3 linked regions of the Callithrix jacchus genome follow. Each later gene encodes a partner of the first gene's protein in a complex. Links are inferred from orthologs where the notes say so. Each region holds a gene or a part of one and is shown on either strand. Other genes may lie near its edges.

Region 1 (4,483 bases):
ATGGATGTGGGTGTGTGGGGGTGACTGTAGGTGTTTGTGTTAGTGTGGAGGTGCCTGTGTGTGTATGAATGTGTGTGTGGGAGGGGGAACCTAGGGTGAGATGTGTGTTGGATGAGTGCATTTGTGTGGGTGTTGGTTCCTGTGTATGTGTGTGTATGTGGGTGTGTGTGTTCATGGGTGTGGGTGCCTGTGTGTATAGGGTGTGTATGTGACTATGTGTGTGGATACCTGTGTGTGAGTGTGTGTGTGTGTGTGTACTTGTGGGTGGGATGAGTGTATGTGTTTATGTGAGTATGTGTGTGTGTGGTGCCTGTGTATTGGGGGAATGAGTCTGTGTGTGAATGTGTGTGTGTGGGGGTGTTTGTGTGTATGTGAGTGTGTGTGTGTGTGTGCCTGCGTGTGTGAGTGTAAATGTGTCTGTGTGGGGGGTGGGGTAGAGGTGCCTGTGTGTGTGTGAGAGAGAGAGTGTGTGTGTGCCTGCCTCTGTGTGTGTGAGTGTGGATGCCTCTGTGTGGGGGGTGGGGTAGTGGGTGCCTGTGTGTGTGTAGGGTGTGTGTGTATATAAGGTGTGTGTGTGTGTGTGTGTGTGTGTGAGAGTGTTTGTGTAGCGGAATGGACTTTGGAGGTAGATTTGATCTTGATATGCGAGGTCTGGAATGCACGAAACATTAAACTTTATTCGAGGACAGAGCTTTCCAAGTGCTCTAAGGAGCCGCGCTAGAGAAGGAGGAGTTGTGGGGACTCCAGGAGCTTCAAAGCAAGGCCCTCACTCTGCTTCAGGCCCACTTTTTATCACCTTATCTATGGAGTTCTGCTTGATTTCATCAGACAAAAAAGTTCCACTGCTAAAACAGGCAAATAAACAAAAAGAGTTATGGCCCACAGAGCCACTGGGAGGTTTTGTGCTGGGGAGGAGCAGGCCCATGTTTGAAGAAACACTGTGACTTGACTCTGGGGTTGTGTGGGGAGCGCGGGGCCTGATGGCAGACCTTGGGAGTGGAAGTCTCTTTCTCAGCCTCTTCAGCTAGACAGGGGAATTATAAAAGGAGGTGGGTGGGGCATGCACATCTCTCCAGTAAGGGAGAGTCTGATGGAGTGAGGTCTCCCCCAGGCTTGGGGAAGTGTGTGTCATCTTCAGAAGGTAGTCCTCCCTACAGACACTGGTACCAGCAGAGGGAAAGGGAGGGGGAAGAGGCAGGAAGTGGGTAACTAGACTAACAAAGGTGCCTGTGGCAGTTTGCCCATCCCAGGTGGGAGGGTGGGGCTAGGGCTCAGGGGCCTGTGTGAATTTACTTGTACCCTGAGGGCTCAGAGGGAGCACCGGTTTGGAGCTGGGACCCCCTGTTTTACCTTTTCTGTGGCTGGTGAATGGGGATCCCAGGATCTCACGATCTCAGGTACTTTTGGAAGTTTCCAGGGCAAGGCCCCATGATGTCTGATGCTGGGGGAGCAGATCTTGGGGGAGCCCCTTCAGCCCCCTTCTCCATTCCCTCAGGGACCATGGGCTGTGGCTGCAGCTCACACCCGGAAGATGACTGGATGGAGAACATCGATGTGTGTGAGAACTGCCATTATCCCATAGTCCCACTGGATGGCAAGGCCACGGTAAGAGGCAAGACAGGGGCCTTAGTGAGGGAGTTGGGTAGACCATGCAACCCAGGAGGAAGAAATGACCAGCGATACAGGCCCTTGAAAGAATAGAGCGGCCCTCTCCCCTGGAATACAGGAAAGGAAAAGAGGCCCAGAGAGGGAAAGGGACTCTCCTAAGATCACACAGCAAGCAGTTGATCAATTCAGGGATAAGACCCAACCAGGCGGAAAGGCTGAGAGCAGAGGGGAAGGGGGCCAGGGTCTGACCCAGTCTTCTGCTCTCTGACTCCACTCTTCATCCCCCACCCCACAGCTGCTCTTCCGAAACGGCTCTGAGGTTCGGGACCCACTGGTCACCTACGAGGGCTCCAATCCGCCGGCCTCCCCACTGCAAGGTGACCCCAGGCAGCAGGGCTTGAAAAACAAGATCCCTCGCTGTCGGCTTCCACCTCCTCCCCACCTACTCTCTCCCTTGTCCTGCCTTCCTTGTCGCCTGCCCCATAACTCCAGGCTTCCTGCCCATCTCAGGCCGGTTCTCCCTGATGCCGCTTGTCTTTACAGACAACCTGGTTATTGCCCTGCACAGCTACAAGCCCTCTCACGACGGAGACCTGGGCTTTGAGAAAGGGGAACAGCTCCGAATCCTGGAGCAGTGAGTCCCTGACCACCTTGCTCTGGGGAGTCCGTGAGGGAGCGGGGATCTCCGGTACCGCAGCCCTCCTGCGGCCCTTGACTGGCTAGGGTGGCCGCCCTTGGGACAAAATTCGAGGCTCAGGAGTGCGGAGCCAGGGTTCGGGAGGCTGGCTTCAGGGTTGGGGGGTCTTTGAGGGATAGCCTCAGATCAACGGCTGAGTGGGCCGCACTGACCCGCCTCCGTGGCGCAGGAACGGCGAGTGGTGGAAGGCGCAGTCCCTGACCACGGGCCAGGAAGGCTTCGTCCCCTTCAATTTTGTGGCCAAAGCGAACAGCCTGGAGCCCGAACCGTGAGTGGGGTCCCGTCGTGGAGGGGGGATGGAAGCAGATCCAGGGATCCTGGAGCAGGGAGTGGGCCTGGGGTGGCGGTGAAGGCTTGAGGGCCACGGAGGAAGATTCGACAACAGCCGATGGCCTGTGTTGGCTTCCGCCCTGCACAGCTGGTTCTTCAAGAACCTGAGCCGCAAGGATGCGGAGCGGCAGCTCCTGGCGCCAGGGAACACTCACGGCTCCTTCCTCATCCGGGAGAGCGAGAGCACCGCGGGTGAGCGGGCGGCGGCCTCGACCCGGCGCGGGGGTGGGGGCCGCGGGGTGAGCCAAAGGGAGGCGAGGGGGTGAGCTCGAGGTGGGGGCGTGGGGTGAGCCGGAGTGGGGCGCGCGGGGTGAGCCTGAGGTGGGGGCCGTGGTGGCGGGCCAGACTCTGCGTTCTTTCGTTCCTTTATCCATCCATTCATTTATTCAGGATCATTTTCACTGTCGGTCCGGGACTTTGACCAGAACCAGGGAGAGGTGGTGAAACATTACAAGATCCGTAATCTGGACAACGGTGGCTTCTACATCTCCCCGCGAATCACTTTTCCCGGCTTGCATGAACTGGTCCGCCATTACACCAGTGAGCCTGGCGGGACCCCTTCCCAGTGCCCTATCAGCCCATCTTCCCTCAGTCCCCTTCGGGTGTCCCCCAACCATCTTTCAATGCGCTCCTCCATTCCCCGCAGTGGGTGAGGTGTGGAACCGTGGAACCCTACGGCCCCAAGGGTTTGGGTGACAGCCCCACACCTGCCTGCTAGTCTACTTTCCCTGGATAGGGGGCTTGGAGAAGTGGGGGAGGTGGTTTTTGCTAGTCCACTTCCCCTGGGTGGGGACTTGGAGAAGTGGGGGAGGTGGTTTTTGCTAGTCCACTTCCCCTGGATGTGGGCTTGGAGAAGTGGCGGAGGTGGTGTCAATACAAGACCACCTTCCCCACTCCCTTGTCCTCGCAGATGCTTCAGATGGGTTGTGCACACGGCTGAGCCGCCCCTGTCAGACCCAGAAGCCCCAGAAGCCCTGGTGGGAGGATGAGTGGGAGGTTCCCAGGGAGACGCTGAAGCTGGTGGAGCGGCTGGGGGCTGGACAGTTCGGGGAGGTGTGGATGGGTGAGTGTGGCCTCCAGGACTGCCTGGGAAGAGGGGAACGGGAGGGGCTGCAGAGGTGGTGAGAGACCCAGGACAGCTGCCTGGTGAGCCTCCCAGTCCTTCCCTCCCCTGACCCAGGGTACTACAACGAGCACACAAAGGTGGCGGTGAAGAGCCTGAAGCAGGGCAGCATGTCCCCGGATGCCTTCCTGGCAGAGGCTAACCTCATGAAGCAGCTGCAACACCAGCGGCTGGTTCGCCTCTACGCTGTGGTCACCCAGGAGCCCATCTACATCATCACTGAATACATGGAGAATGGTGGGTGCCGCCTGAGTTGCCGCGGGGGGACTCTGCTCTCCCCACCTTCTCTGCTGGAGGGTGGAAATACACCTTTACTCCTGGCGCAAAGCTCAAGCAGGAAGGGTTTCTTGAGCTTTCCTGGCCCCTAGACTCACCTCCAGACATGAGAAGAAGGTGTATCCTCTGATCCTGTCTGGGGACCAGCCTAAGGTGGCAAGAATGTTTTGGAAGACCATTCACCCCAGTCCTCCCTGACCTACCATTCTGTTTGCCTTCTTCAAAGCCCTACTTCGATCTCAGGATGCTTGATCTCAGAAAGCAAGTGGGTCCCAGCCCCGTTTCTCTCCCTTCTGCCCCTGAGCCTTGGGAAGCCCTCTGTTTCAGTTCTGAGTGAGCCCCTATCCCTGCACCCCTCCTGGTCTGTTACTGGACAGAGTGAGAGCCCCAGGAAGACGGATGCGAGTTTCTTGTCTCAGCTTTGTTCACACTAATTTGCTGTGTGACAG
Region 2 (4,584 bases), on another chromosome or scaffold:
CAATAATGTTGCAAAAGCAATCTGGATAAAACTGCTGCCTTAGCATAAATGAAGGCAGTGGCACCAAACCATATGATAGTCACCGCACTCTTCACTGCCAGGTACTTACAGTAAAAAAGAAGAAAAATAGTAATGGCAGTTTTACTTAATCATGCCCTTAATGAGGCCAGGCACGGTGGCTTATGCCTGTAATCCCAGCACTTTGGGAGGCAGAGGTGGGCAGATCAAGAAGTCAGGAGATCGAGACCATCCTGGCTAACACAGTGAAACACCATCTCCACTAAAAATACAAAAAATTAGTCGGGCGTGGTGCCACATACCTGGAGGCTGAGGCACGAGACTGACTTGAACCCAGGAGGCAGAGGTTGCAATGCGCAGAGATCACGCCACTGCACTCCAGCCTGGGCAGCAGAGCAAGACTCCATCTCAGGCAGAAAAAAAAATGGGCAGGCTCAGTGGCTCTCATTCAAGACCAGCCTGGCCAACTTGGTGAAACCCCATCTCTACTAAAAATACAAAAAAACAAAAAAAATTAGCTGGACATGGTGGTGGGCATTTGTAATCCCAGCTACTCTGGAGGCTGAGGCAGGAGAATTGCTTGAACCCGGGAAGTGGAGGTTGCAGTGAGCTGAGACTGGGCCATTGCACTCCAGCCTGGGCAACAAGAGCGAAACTCCACCTAAAAACAAACAAAAAAATACAAAAATTAGCTGGGTATGATGGTGCACTTGTAGTTCCCAGCTACTTGGGAGGCTAAAGCAGAAGAATCCCTTGAACCCGGGAGGCAGAGGTTGCAGTGAGCTGAGATCTCGTCACTTAACTCCAGCTTGGTGACAGAGCAAGACTCTGTCTCAAAAAAAAAAAAAAATGCCCTTAATGATGAAGTAGTAAATACTAATGTTATTAAATCTCAACCCTTGAGTACAGTAGCCATGAAATGAGAAGCAGCACACAGTACTACATGCTGCAGGTCTGGAGGGTGGCGGTATGCAGGTGGTATGTTTAGTTGGGGATATGTTGAGTTTGCTATGGCCGGTGAGCTTCCCAATGGAGATGTCCAATGCGCTGGTGGATACCCACATCTGGAGCCCACGAGAGATATGGGCTAAAGGAAAGCGTTTAAGGCCCGGCCAGAGACGCCCAGAGGAACAGAGTCTGGTTCACAGTCACTCCTGGTGTCTCAGGTATCCTCTGCTCAGCCCACACCCTCTCTTCCACACTGGGCCACCTACAAAGCCCCCACCGATACCCCTGGAGGCAGCCACTGAACACAGGCCCTCAGGGCCCCGGAGCGAGGAGCTATTTGTGGACTTGCCACGGCTGTTCCCGTATGCCCCCAGCTACCTCCCACTTCTGGTCAGATACGATAGTGTCACTGGTGGAATCTTTCTTGCAATCCTTTTCTTGCCACTTAACAGTGGCAGTGGCACTGTGGCTCCAGCCTGATTCTGCTGAACTTTTTCCCTTGACTTTGGCATTTTCACTTTGAGATGTTTTCTGAGAGCCGGGGGTGGGGACCCCAGCTCCAGGTGGTGACGTGGAGGGCCAGCCCAGGCCTAGGGTGTGGAGGAGCCTCCCCATTGGGCTTCCTGTCTCTCTTCATTTAAGCACGACTCTGCAGAAGAAACAAAGCACCCTCCCCATTGGGCTCCTGGCTGCAGAGCTCCAAGTCCTCACACAGAGACACCTTTTTTGAGAAGCAGAGGGCAAGAAAGATGCAAGGCCAGAGGTAAGATGGTCAGACTCGGCTTCTTTCCCTGGAGCTGGGAGGGAGGGGAACGTGGGGCAGATGCACAGGAACGTGCTCTGCCCAGTTGTCTGCCCACCTTCCCTTGCATTTCTTTTGGAACGGATCATGAGCAGCAATCTTCCACCAGAACTGCGAGCTTCAGAGGTCAGGGGCTGTGCCAGACTGCTCTCTGCAGCCCCGGTGTGCACAGCTCAGTGCCCAGAGCAGCGGGTGCTCCTCAGAGGAGTATTGACCGGAATGGCAATATCAGAGAGAGAGTGAGGGCTGGAGACTACCCCAGGCTGGGAAAGGTGTGGGAGGTAACTAGTCATGGGCGGTGGAGGAGAGAAGACTGGAAGAGGGGAAAAGAGGAGAAAAAGAGTGAATGAGGGGAGGGAAACATCAGAAAGAATAAATATAAGATGGGAGGAAACCCATAAAAACGAAATGATGAGGAAAAACGACAAAAGCAAGAAAAAGACAAAAAGAAGCAGAAGCTAGTCTAGAGAAAATTCCTGCAAAATCACTTTTCCTGATGGTGCGATCTCCAAACATTTACACGAAGTATCATATGAGCAGCATTTCATAAGTCACATGATCTATGTAATAGTCTCTTTTAACTACCTTTTGTGCTTATGTGTGTATTTAAAAATTTTTGTCTACTTTTTTGCTCTTTTAAGATTTTTGAACAATGTCTAAAGACACTTTTCTAGATAGCTTTAAAATAATTCATGAAATAGGAAAGCTAAAATTCTCAGAAGGTGTTCAAACTGAGCTTTTGCGTGTGAAATGCCGTAAATGTGACAGATGTGTATCTTTAGATGAATATGTCATTTAAGAAATGGATTCGAAGAGAATTGGCGGTGGGGGTCTCCCAAGGCCAGGAGAGTTGAGAAGGGCGTGGAGCCCCGCCTGGGCCTGGCCGGGTGTGAGCGAGAGGGCGGACTCTATCCCTCTTGACCGGAAGCCCTGTACAATCTCAGCCTCTTCACCTCAGAACTTTCCAGCTCCTTGAAGCCATGCTATCCCCAGTGTCCTCTGCTTTTCCCCTCATAAGCTTTTTCTGGGAGAGAGGGTTCCTGGGGCACAGTCTGATCCCTTAACATGGAAAGGCCCCATTCTCAATAATTAGAAGCTTTCGCTCTGAGTGGGATAGTGCTTCCTGAGTGCCCTGCTTTTATGGGGCACATTTTTAGTGGGCTAAGAGTAGGTCCTGATGGCGGAGGTCACTGCTACTTCACATTTTGACAGATAATTCCTGTGCTGTATCAGATGCTGTAGGCTGATACAAAATGGCTGCCGCCTTCAAAGTCAGATGAAAGAGCCCATGAGGACAGCGTTAGAGACATTTGAGAGATGATTTCCCTCTTCCCACCAAGGGTGCTAGGCAGAGCCTTTAGGGCCGCCCTAGGCCCTGGCCCTGGCCGTAATGGCGGGGTGGTGCTGAGGGGAATTGGCTAGATCAATTGTCTTGCACATTTTATTTATTTATTCTTACTATTTTTGAGACAGAGTGTCACTCTGTCGCCTGGGCTGGAGTGCAATGGCGTGATCTTGACTCACTGCAGCCTCTGCCTCCCAGGTTCAAGTGATTCTCCTGCCTCAGCCTTTCAAGTAGCTGGGATTACAGGTGTCTGTCATCATGCCCGGCTAATTTTTGTATTTTTAGTAGAGACAGGGTTACACTATATTAGCCAGGCTGGTCTCAAACTCCTGACCTCAAGTGATCTGCCCTTCTTGGCCTCCCAAAGTGCTGGGATTACAGATGTGAGCCACCACCGGGCCAGTCTTACACATTTTAGACACTCAGCAAATATTTGTTGAATCAAATAACTTTGATGGGCTGGGCGAGTTGGCCCACACCTGTAATCCCAGCCCTTTGGGAGGCCAAGGCATGAGGATGACTTGAGCCTAGGAGTTTGAGACCAGCCTGGGCAACATAATGAAACCCCTATCTCTACAAAAAATACAAAAGTTAGCTGGGCATGGTAGTGTGTGCCTGTGGTTCCAGCTACTTGAGAGGCTGAGGTGGGAAGATTGCTTGAGCCTGGGAGACGGAGGCTGCAATGAGCCCTGATTGTGCCACTGCATCGCGTGCTAGCGTAGGCGAGAGTGAGGCCCTGTCTCAAAATAACTTTGATGAAGGTGGGGAATCAGAGATAGACGGGCAGGGGTCTGGGTTTGCAAAGCTCTGAGGTTGAGCTCCGTTCTGTACCTTTGCGGGGATGAGGGGAGGAGGGGAGGAGGGTGGGCACAGTTCCCTCGATGTGGGTGTCTGAGGCGAAGAAGAGGATGGCGGAGGTTGCAGCCACCAACCACAAGAGTTCCTTAGAGGGGTCACAGTCCCCAGGAAGTTTCTAGGAAGCCAGTCAGCAGTAGAGAGGGTGAACATGGTGGGGCGCATCCCGTGGCTGCGCTTAAGTGGGTTGCTTGGGGGTTATGGGGAGAAGATAAAAGTGCCTGTAGGACCACAGACTTTCGCTGTGGCGGAGGTGGGCTCTCTTCCTCTCCCAAGTCTCGCTCCTCGTCCCATCCCTGGGGGGCCAGGGGTGAGGGCGGCGGGAACCTCAAGGCTCTGCGAGAGTGCATGGAGTGTGTTGCCATTTTGGTCTCGTCTCTATCTCGGTCTCTCTTTGCCTCACTTTGGGTCTCCGCTCTGTGCGTCTGTCTTGCTTCTCAGCATGTCTTCTTTTCCTCTTTTTTGTAGTACCCTGCGCTTTGCATGTGGTTGTGGATTGTGTGTGTGTAGCTGTTGCTTTAACAAGCTGCTCCAGGTCTCCCTCCCACATCTATTCCTCCCCTCCTCCCTTGAGGCCTCTGTGCATTCTGGGGAAATCTGTCCATTTCCCTTTGTC
Region 3 (4,595 bases), on another chromosome or scaffold:
TAGCAATGTGAGGTGCAGCCACTATGGAATTCAAAGTGAAAAGACTCAAAAACCCTGAAGAAATGGGAAGAGGGCATGCCACTGGGGATAGAAGGTTTCAGGACAGCAATAGACAAAAAAGAAGGATGAGCCTATAGTCCCAGCTACTCAGGAGACTGAGGCGGGAGGATCACTGGAGCTCAGGAGTCCCAAGCTCAGCCTGAGCAAAATAATGAGACTCTAACCTTTTTTTTTTCTTTCTTTTTTTAAGGGAAACAAAAGGGAAGGGGACCACACACATGTACCAGGGATAGAAGAGAGAAAAACACCTCCACCAAACATTCACCCATGTCATCCATGCCTCTCTGCAGAGCACCCAGAGCTGGGGGCAAAAGAAATGAGGTCCAAGTGAGACAGCACAGGAGCTGGCTCCAGGGCTTAAACAGACCAGTATCCCTGGTCTGTTAGGGACTGTAAGTGCAAGGGTGTGAAAGCACAGAGGGCAGTGGTTGGATGACTTCAAGCCTGTAAAGCTGCAGCTGCAGGTGTATGGGAAGGGCAGGGCAGGGGGCTGTGCAGAGGCTGGGAGGAGCCAGCACCCTAGGCCTGGTCAACGAACCTGGGGTTGAGTTTCCATCCAGCAATGCAGACCATGGGAGGCTGCAGGAGTGACGTTGTCAGATCCCCTTTATGAGAATAATAATTTTTTTGGGGGGGATGGGGTTTTGCTCTTGTTGCCTAGGCTGGGATGCAGTGGCACAATCTTGGCTCACCTGCAACCTCCGCCTCCCGAGTTCAAGAGATCCTCCTGCCTCAGCCTCCCACGTAGCTGGGATTATAGGCACCTGCCATCATGCCCGGCTAATTTTGTATTTTTAGTAGAGGCGGGGTTTCTCCATGCTGGTTAGGCTGGTCTCGAACTCCCGACCTCAGGTGATCCCTCCGCCTCGGCCTCCCAAAGTGCTGGAATTACAGGGAGAATAATAATTTTTATAACAACGTGTCTGGAAGACAAGTCAGGAGAGAGACTGGTGTGGAGGCTCTTGCAACGGCCGCAAGAAGAGTTGAGGCTGTGTGGTGAGTTTAGCCGCTAGGCGAAAGCCCGGAAGGGTGAGGTCAGCAGCGCCACCCAAGGCTTCGGCTGCTGCCGCCCTCATGGAAATCTCCTGGGGGAAGGGAGAGGGCCCTTCCTCGGTGTTCTGCCCGAGTTCCCGAGAAGCGGGTAGGTTGCTAGCTCTTCTTCCTTTTCAGTCCTCAGTGCCCATTTTGCCGATAAAAAGCCCCAAAGTGACAGTTCAAGAGACGCCTTTAGTTAAGGCAAAGGAAGGGACACTCCCCTCCTTTCCTGCCTGCTCTCGCCCTCACTTGAAACCTTTGGTCTCTCTTCACCCACTCTGTCAATGTCACAAGGCAGCCATTTCCAAGGACTATTTCCAAGCCCTTTTCCTCGTTCCCAAACCCGCAGTTTTCAACTGTCCCCAGCTGCATCGCCAGGCTGCCTCGACGGCCCCACTCACGGCCCCCAGTCTCTTCAGAAGGCGACAACCGCGAAAAGGAGGGTGACTCTCCCCGGCGGGGGCTTCAGGTGACATCACATCCTTCAAATGCGAAATTAGTCTCCGGGCAGGTCGAAGGGCGAAACTCCCCCCACCCCCGCCGCCCCGCTGTGCGCCCCACCGACTCCCGCTCGCCTCTCCTCGCGCCCGAGCTTCGAGCCGACCCTCGCAGTGTCCTGGGGAGGGCGTCATGGCCTCGCCAGTGACCGCCTTGCTCCTGCCGCTGGCCATGCTGCTCCGTGAGTTTGCGACCCCCGGGAAGGCAGGGGGTGGGGCGGTCGGGGGGCGCGGGACTCAGCCTCGCTGTCTGCTGCCTCCAGATGCTGCCAGGCCCAGCCGGTTCCGGGTGTCGCCGCTGGATCGGACCTGGAACTTGGGCGACACGGTGGAGCTGAAGTGCGAGGTGCTGCTGTCCAACCCGGCCTCCGGCTGCTCGTGGCTCTTTCAGCCGCGCGGCGCTGCCGCCAGCCCCAACTTCCTCCTATACATCTCCCAAACCAAGTCCAAGGTGGCCGATGGGCTGGACACCCAGCGATACTCCGGCAAGAAGATGGGGGACAGCTTCATTCTCACCCTGAGCGACTTCCGAGAGGAGAACCAGGGCTACTATTTCTGCTCGGCCCTGAGAAACTCCATCATGTACTTCAGCAGCTTCGTGCCGGTCTTCCTGCCAGGTCCGGGCGCGGGGTGCGGCGCCTCTCCGCGTGGGGCTCGGGGCTCCCCTCACTTTGTTTTCCACACGGAGGCCCTGCTTTCAAGCCTCCTAGAGCACCTGGAACCGACTTGTATACTGTTCCCATTTCACAGACGGGCAAACTGAGGCTAACCTGCGGCTGACTGGGGAATGGAGATGGCTTTTTAGGTCCGGCTGATCTGGGCTCGAGTTCGGATGCTTGCGTGGTTCTGGGCAAACGACTTAAATTCTCTGCGCCTCTGTTTGCTCGTGGGTAAACCAGGGTTGCTGGTTCAGCCCAGGAGAGAGGCCGGGTGCCAGGAAGCGGGCTTCTGCGCTCTGGCCCCGGGCGCCGCGTGCTCAGGGCTGAGCCAGGGAGAAGCACCGGGGTCGGCGAGCATCGCCGGGTCTTCATCCCGTCTCCTCTGCCATCCCTTCTCCCAGGAAAACCCGCGGGGAGGCTCCCCCGTAGGGAAAGGCTCCCGGGGCCAGGCTGGGTAGGGGCCGGTCCATAACCCCAGCCTGGCCCCCCACCACGCTCTATTGCTCCTGCAGCGAAGCCCACCACGACGCCAGCGCCGCGACCACCCACACCGGAGCCCACCACAGCGTCGCAGCCCCTGTCCCTGCGTCCACAGGCTTGCCGGCCAGCGGCGGGGGTCGCAGGTGAGATGTGCGGAGTCCCGGCGCGGGGGCGGCACGGACCGCGGGGAAAGCCCATGCCAGGGGCAGCCCTGATACTGTAGGTAGAGCCGAGGCATGTCCAAGTGGTGGGAAACCGAGACCTGAGGCCAAGAGACGCGTCCGGGACGGTGGGCCGGGTCGGGGGATCCCGGGCCCGCTCCTAAATGTTGTTGTCTTTGGTGTCGTCAGGGGACACGAGGGGGCTGGACTTCGCCTGTGATATCTACATCTGGGTGCCCCTGGCCGGGACCTGCGGGATCCTTCTCCTGTCACTGGTCCTCACCGTTTACTGCAATCACAGTAAGTTCCGAGGAATCGTGGCGAGGATGAGTCCGCCCAGCTCCCGCCAGACCTTGAGGGCGGTGGGTTGAGATTTCTGGGACTCTCGAGCTGCCCCACAGGTACAGGCACTTCTTTCCTGGAGATAGGACGCGAGAGAGCCCTTCCTGCTCCTTCTCGCGCTCTTGGAGAGGTTTTGGGAAGATAAAGCCCTGTTCCCAGAGGGGCTGCAACGGGTGTGTTCCGTCAGCGAAGCCCGCAGCTAGCGCACAGGTCCGGACACAGGACAAACGCTCGCCAGGAGGGGGCCGCCGTGGCCCTGGGTCAAGTGCCCATAAGGGTTAGGTCAAAACCACGACCAGTTCACCCTTGGTTCCCTTCCCGTGAGCCGCCCACCCGCTTTGGGTCCCATGCAGGGGAGGTGCCGGATCAGGTCTACAGGCTCCTCGCGTTCACTCACGTCTATAGTTGCATTTTTTTCTTTAAATTGATGCTTGAGACGAAGGATGGATGAGAAACCCTTACCTGGGTCTCAAGAGTTATAATCCTCAAAGAAATAGGGGAAAGGAAGGAGAAATCGTAGGGGCAATTCGCTATCTGCCCCATCCAATTTCAGCCCATGATCATTCTGAAATAATTTTTTTTTTTTTTTTTGTAAAACCAAAAAACAAAACAAACAAAATACCCCGTCTTTGGGGACTACTGGTGGATGGGGGCACTCACTTTTTCCCTTCTTTCTCCTTTATCCAGGGAACCGAAGACGTGTTTGCAAATGTCCCCGGTGAGTCTCTTTTGAACTCTCAGCCTGCTCACCTTGGGCAGTCCTGGAGTGGGGTCCTGATTTCCGCAGCAGCAAATAGTGGGAACTTTTCCCAAAGGGAGGTCATGGCCGTGGAGTCCTGGGGCAGGGAGTCAGCTCGTTCCAAAGCAAAGAGAAGCTGAGGCTGGCATCTGGCCTGCATCCTTGAGAAAAAGGAGGCCCGGGTTAGGCTGGTGCTGAGAGCAGTGTGACTCCAGTAAATCTCCATCTTATTTGGCCTGGCACTTAAAAAAAAAAAAAGAATGGCTTTGGTTCCTAATTTCTCTGTATCATGTGGGGCCTTGGTTTTCTGCCAAGGACTGGAGTAGAAAAATGGGGAACCAGATGCAGGGACAATTCACTATCTGGCAGCTCAAGTGACTGCCCTATCCAGTTTCAGCCCACGATCATTCTGAAATCATTTAAAAATAAAAAACACATTTTCTGTTAAAAACCTCCTCTCTTCACTCGTTGGCTGAGGCATCCCTGTGGCAGCATCTAACAAGTGCCTGCTGTTGCCAGGCACTGTGATAGGGGTGATACTCCCCAGCTCTCTTAATCCTCACAGCAACCTTGTCCCATCTCACAGCTCATGGGCTCAAGGATTAGGAAACCTACCCAAAGT

The links. The genes of interacting proteins can lie anywhere in the genome.
Region 2: the proteins of LCK (region 1) and CD4 are in contact, whole or in part, in an NMR structure (PDB 1Q68), measured with the Homo sapiens proteins. The link is inferred for Callithrix jacchus from reciprocal best matches to the Homo sapiens genes LCK and CD4. Residues at the interface, in NP_001036236.1 of Homo sapiens: Glu15, Ile17, Val19, Cys20, Asn22, Cys23, Tyr25, Pro26, Ile27, Val28; in NP_000607.1 of Homo sapiens: Ala429, Arg431, Ile435, Leu438, Leu439, Lys443, Thr444, Cys445, Gln446, Cys447.
Region 3: the proteins of LCK (region 1) and CD8A are in contact, whole or in part, in an NMR structure (PDB 1Q69), measured with the Homo sapiens proteins. The link is inferred for Callithrix jacchus from reciprocal best matches to the Homo sapiens genes LCK and CD8A. Residues at the interface, in NP_001036236.1 of Homo sapiens: Cys20, Asn22, Cys23, Tyr25, Pro26, Ile27, Val28; in NP_001139345.1 of Homo sapiens: Arg212, Arg213, Val214, Cys215, Lys216, Cys217.

What each region holds. Positions count from the first base shown.
Region 1 is NC_133508.1:68,884,569-68,889,051, forward strand, and holds the start of LCK (tyrosine-protein kinase Lck), read left to right. Parts: upstream 1-1,291; 5' UTR 1,292-1,368; coding exon 1,369-1,605; intron 1,606-1,903; coding exon 1,904-1,985; intron 1,986-2,151; coding exon 2,152-2,242; intron 2,243-2,474; coding exon 2,475-2,573; intron 2,574-2,723; coding exon 2,724-2,827; intron 2,828-3,025; coding exon 3,026-3,175; intron 3,176-3,545; coding exon 3,546-3,698; intron 3,699-3,815; coding exon 3,816-3,995; intron 3,996-4,483. UniProt on the Homo sapiens protein: Non-receptor tyrosine-protein kinase that plays an essential role in the selection and maturation of developing T-cells in the thymus and in the function of mature T-cells. Plays a key role in T-cell antigen receptor (TCR)-linked signal transduction pathways.
Region 2 is NC_133510.1:21,059,670-21,064,253, forward strand, and holds the start of CD4 (T-cell surface glycoprotein CD4), read left to right. Parts: upstream 1-1,605; 5' UTR 1,606-1,715; coding exon 1,716-1,729; intron 1,730-4,584. UniProt on the Homo sapiens protein: Integral membrane glycoprotein that plays an essential role in the immune response and serves multiple functions in responses against both external and internal offenses.
Region 3 is NC_133515.1:26,203,792-26,208,386, forward strand, and holds the start of CD8A (T-cell surface glycoprotein CD8 alpha chain), read left to right. Parts: upstream 1-1,616; 5' UTR 1,617-1,725; coding exon 1,726-1,774; intron 1,775-1,855; coding exon 1,856-2,209; intron 2,210-2,763; coding exon 2,764-2,874; intron 2,875-3,081; coding exon 3,082-3,192; intron 3,193-3,921; coding exon 3,922-3,952; intron 3,953-4,595. UniProt on the Homo sapiens protein: Integral membrane glycoprotein that plays an essential role in the immune response and serves multiple functions in responses against both external and internal offenses. In T-cells, functions primarily as a coreceptor for MHC class I molecule:peptide complex.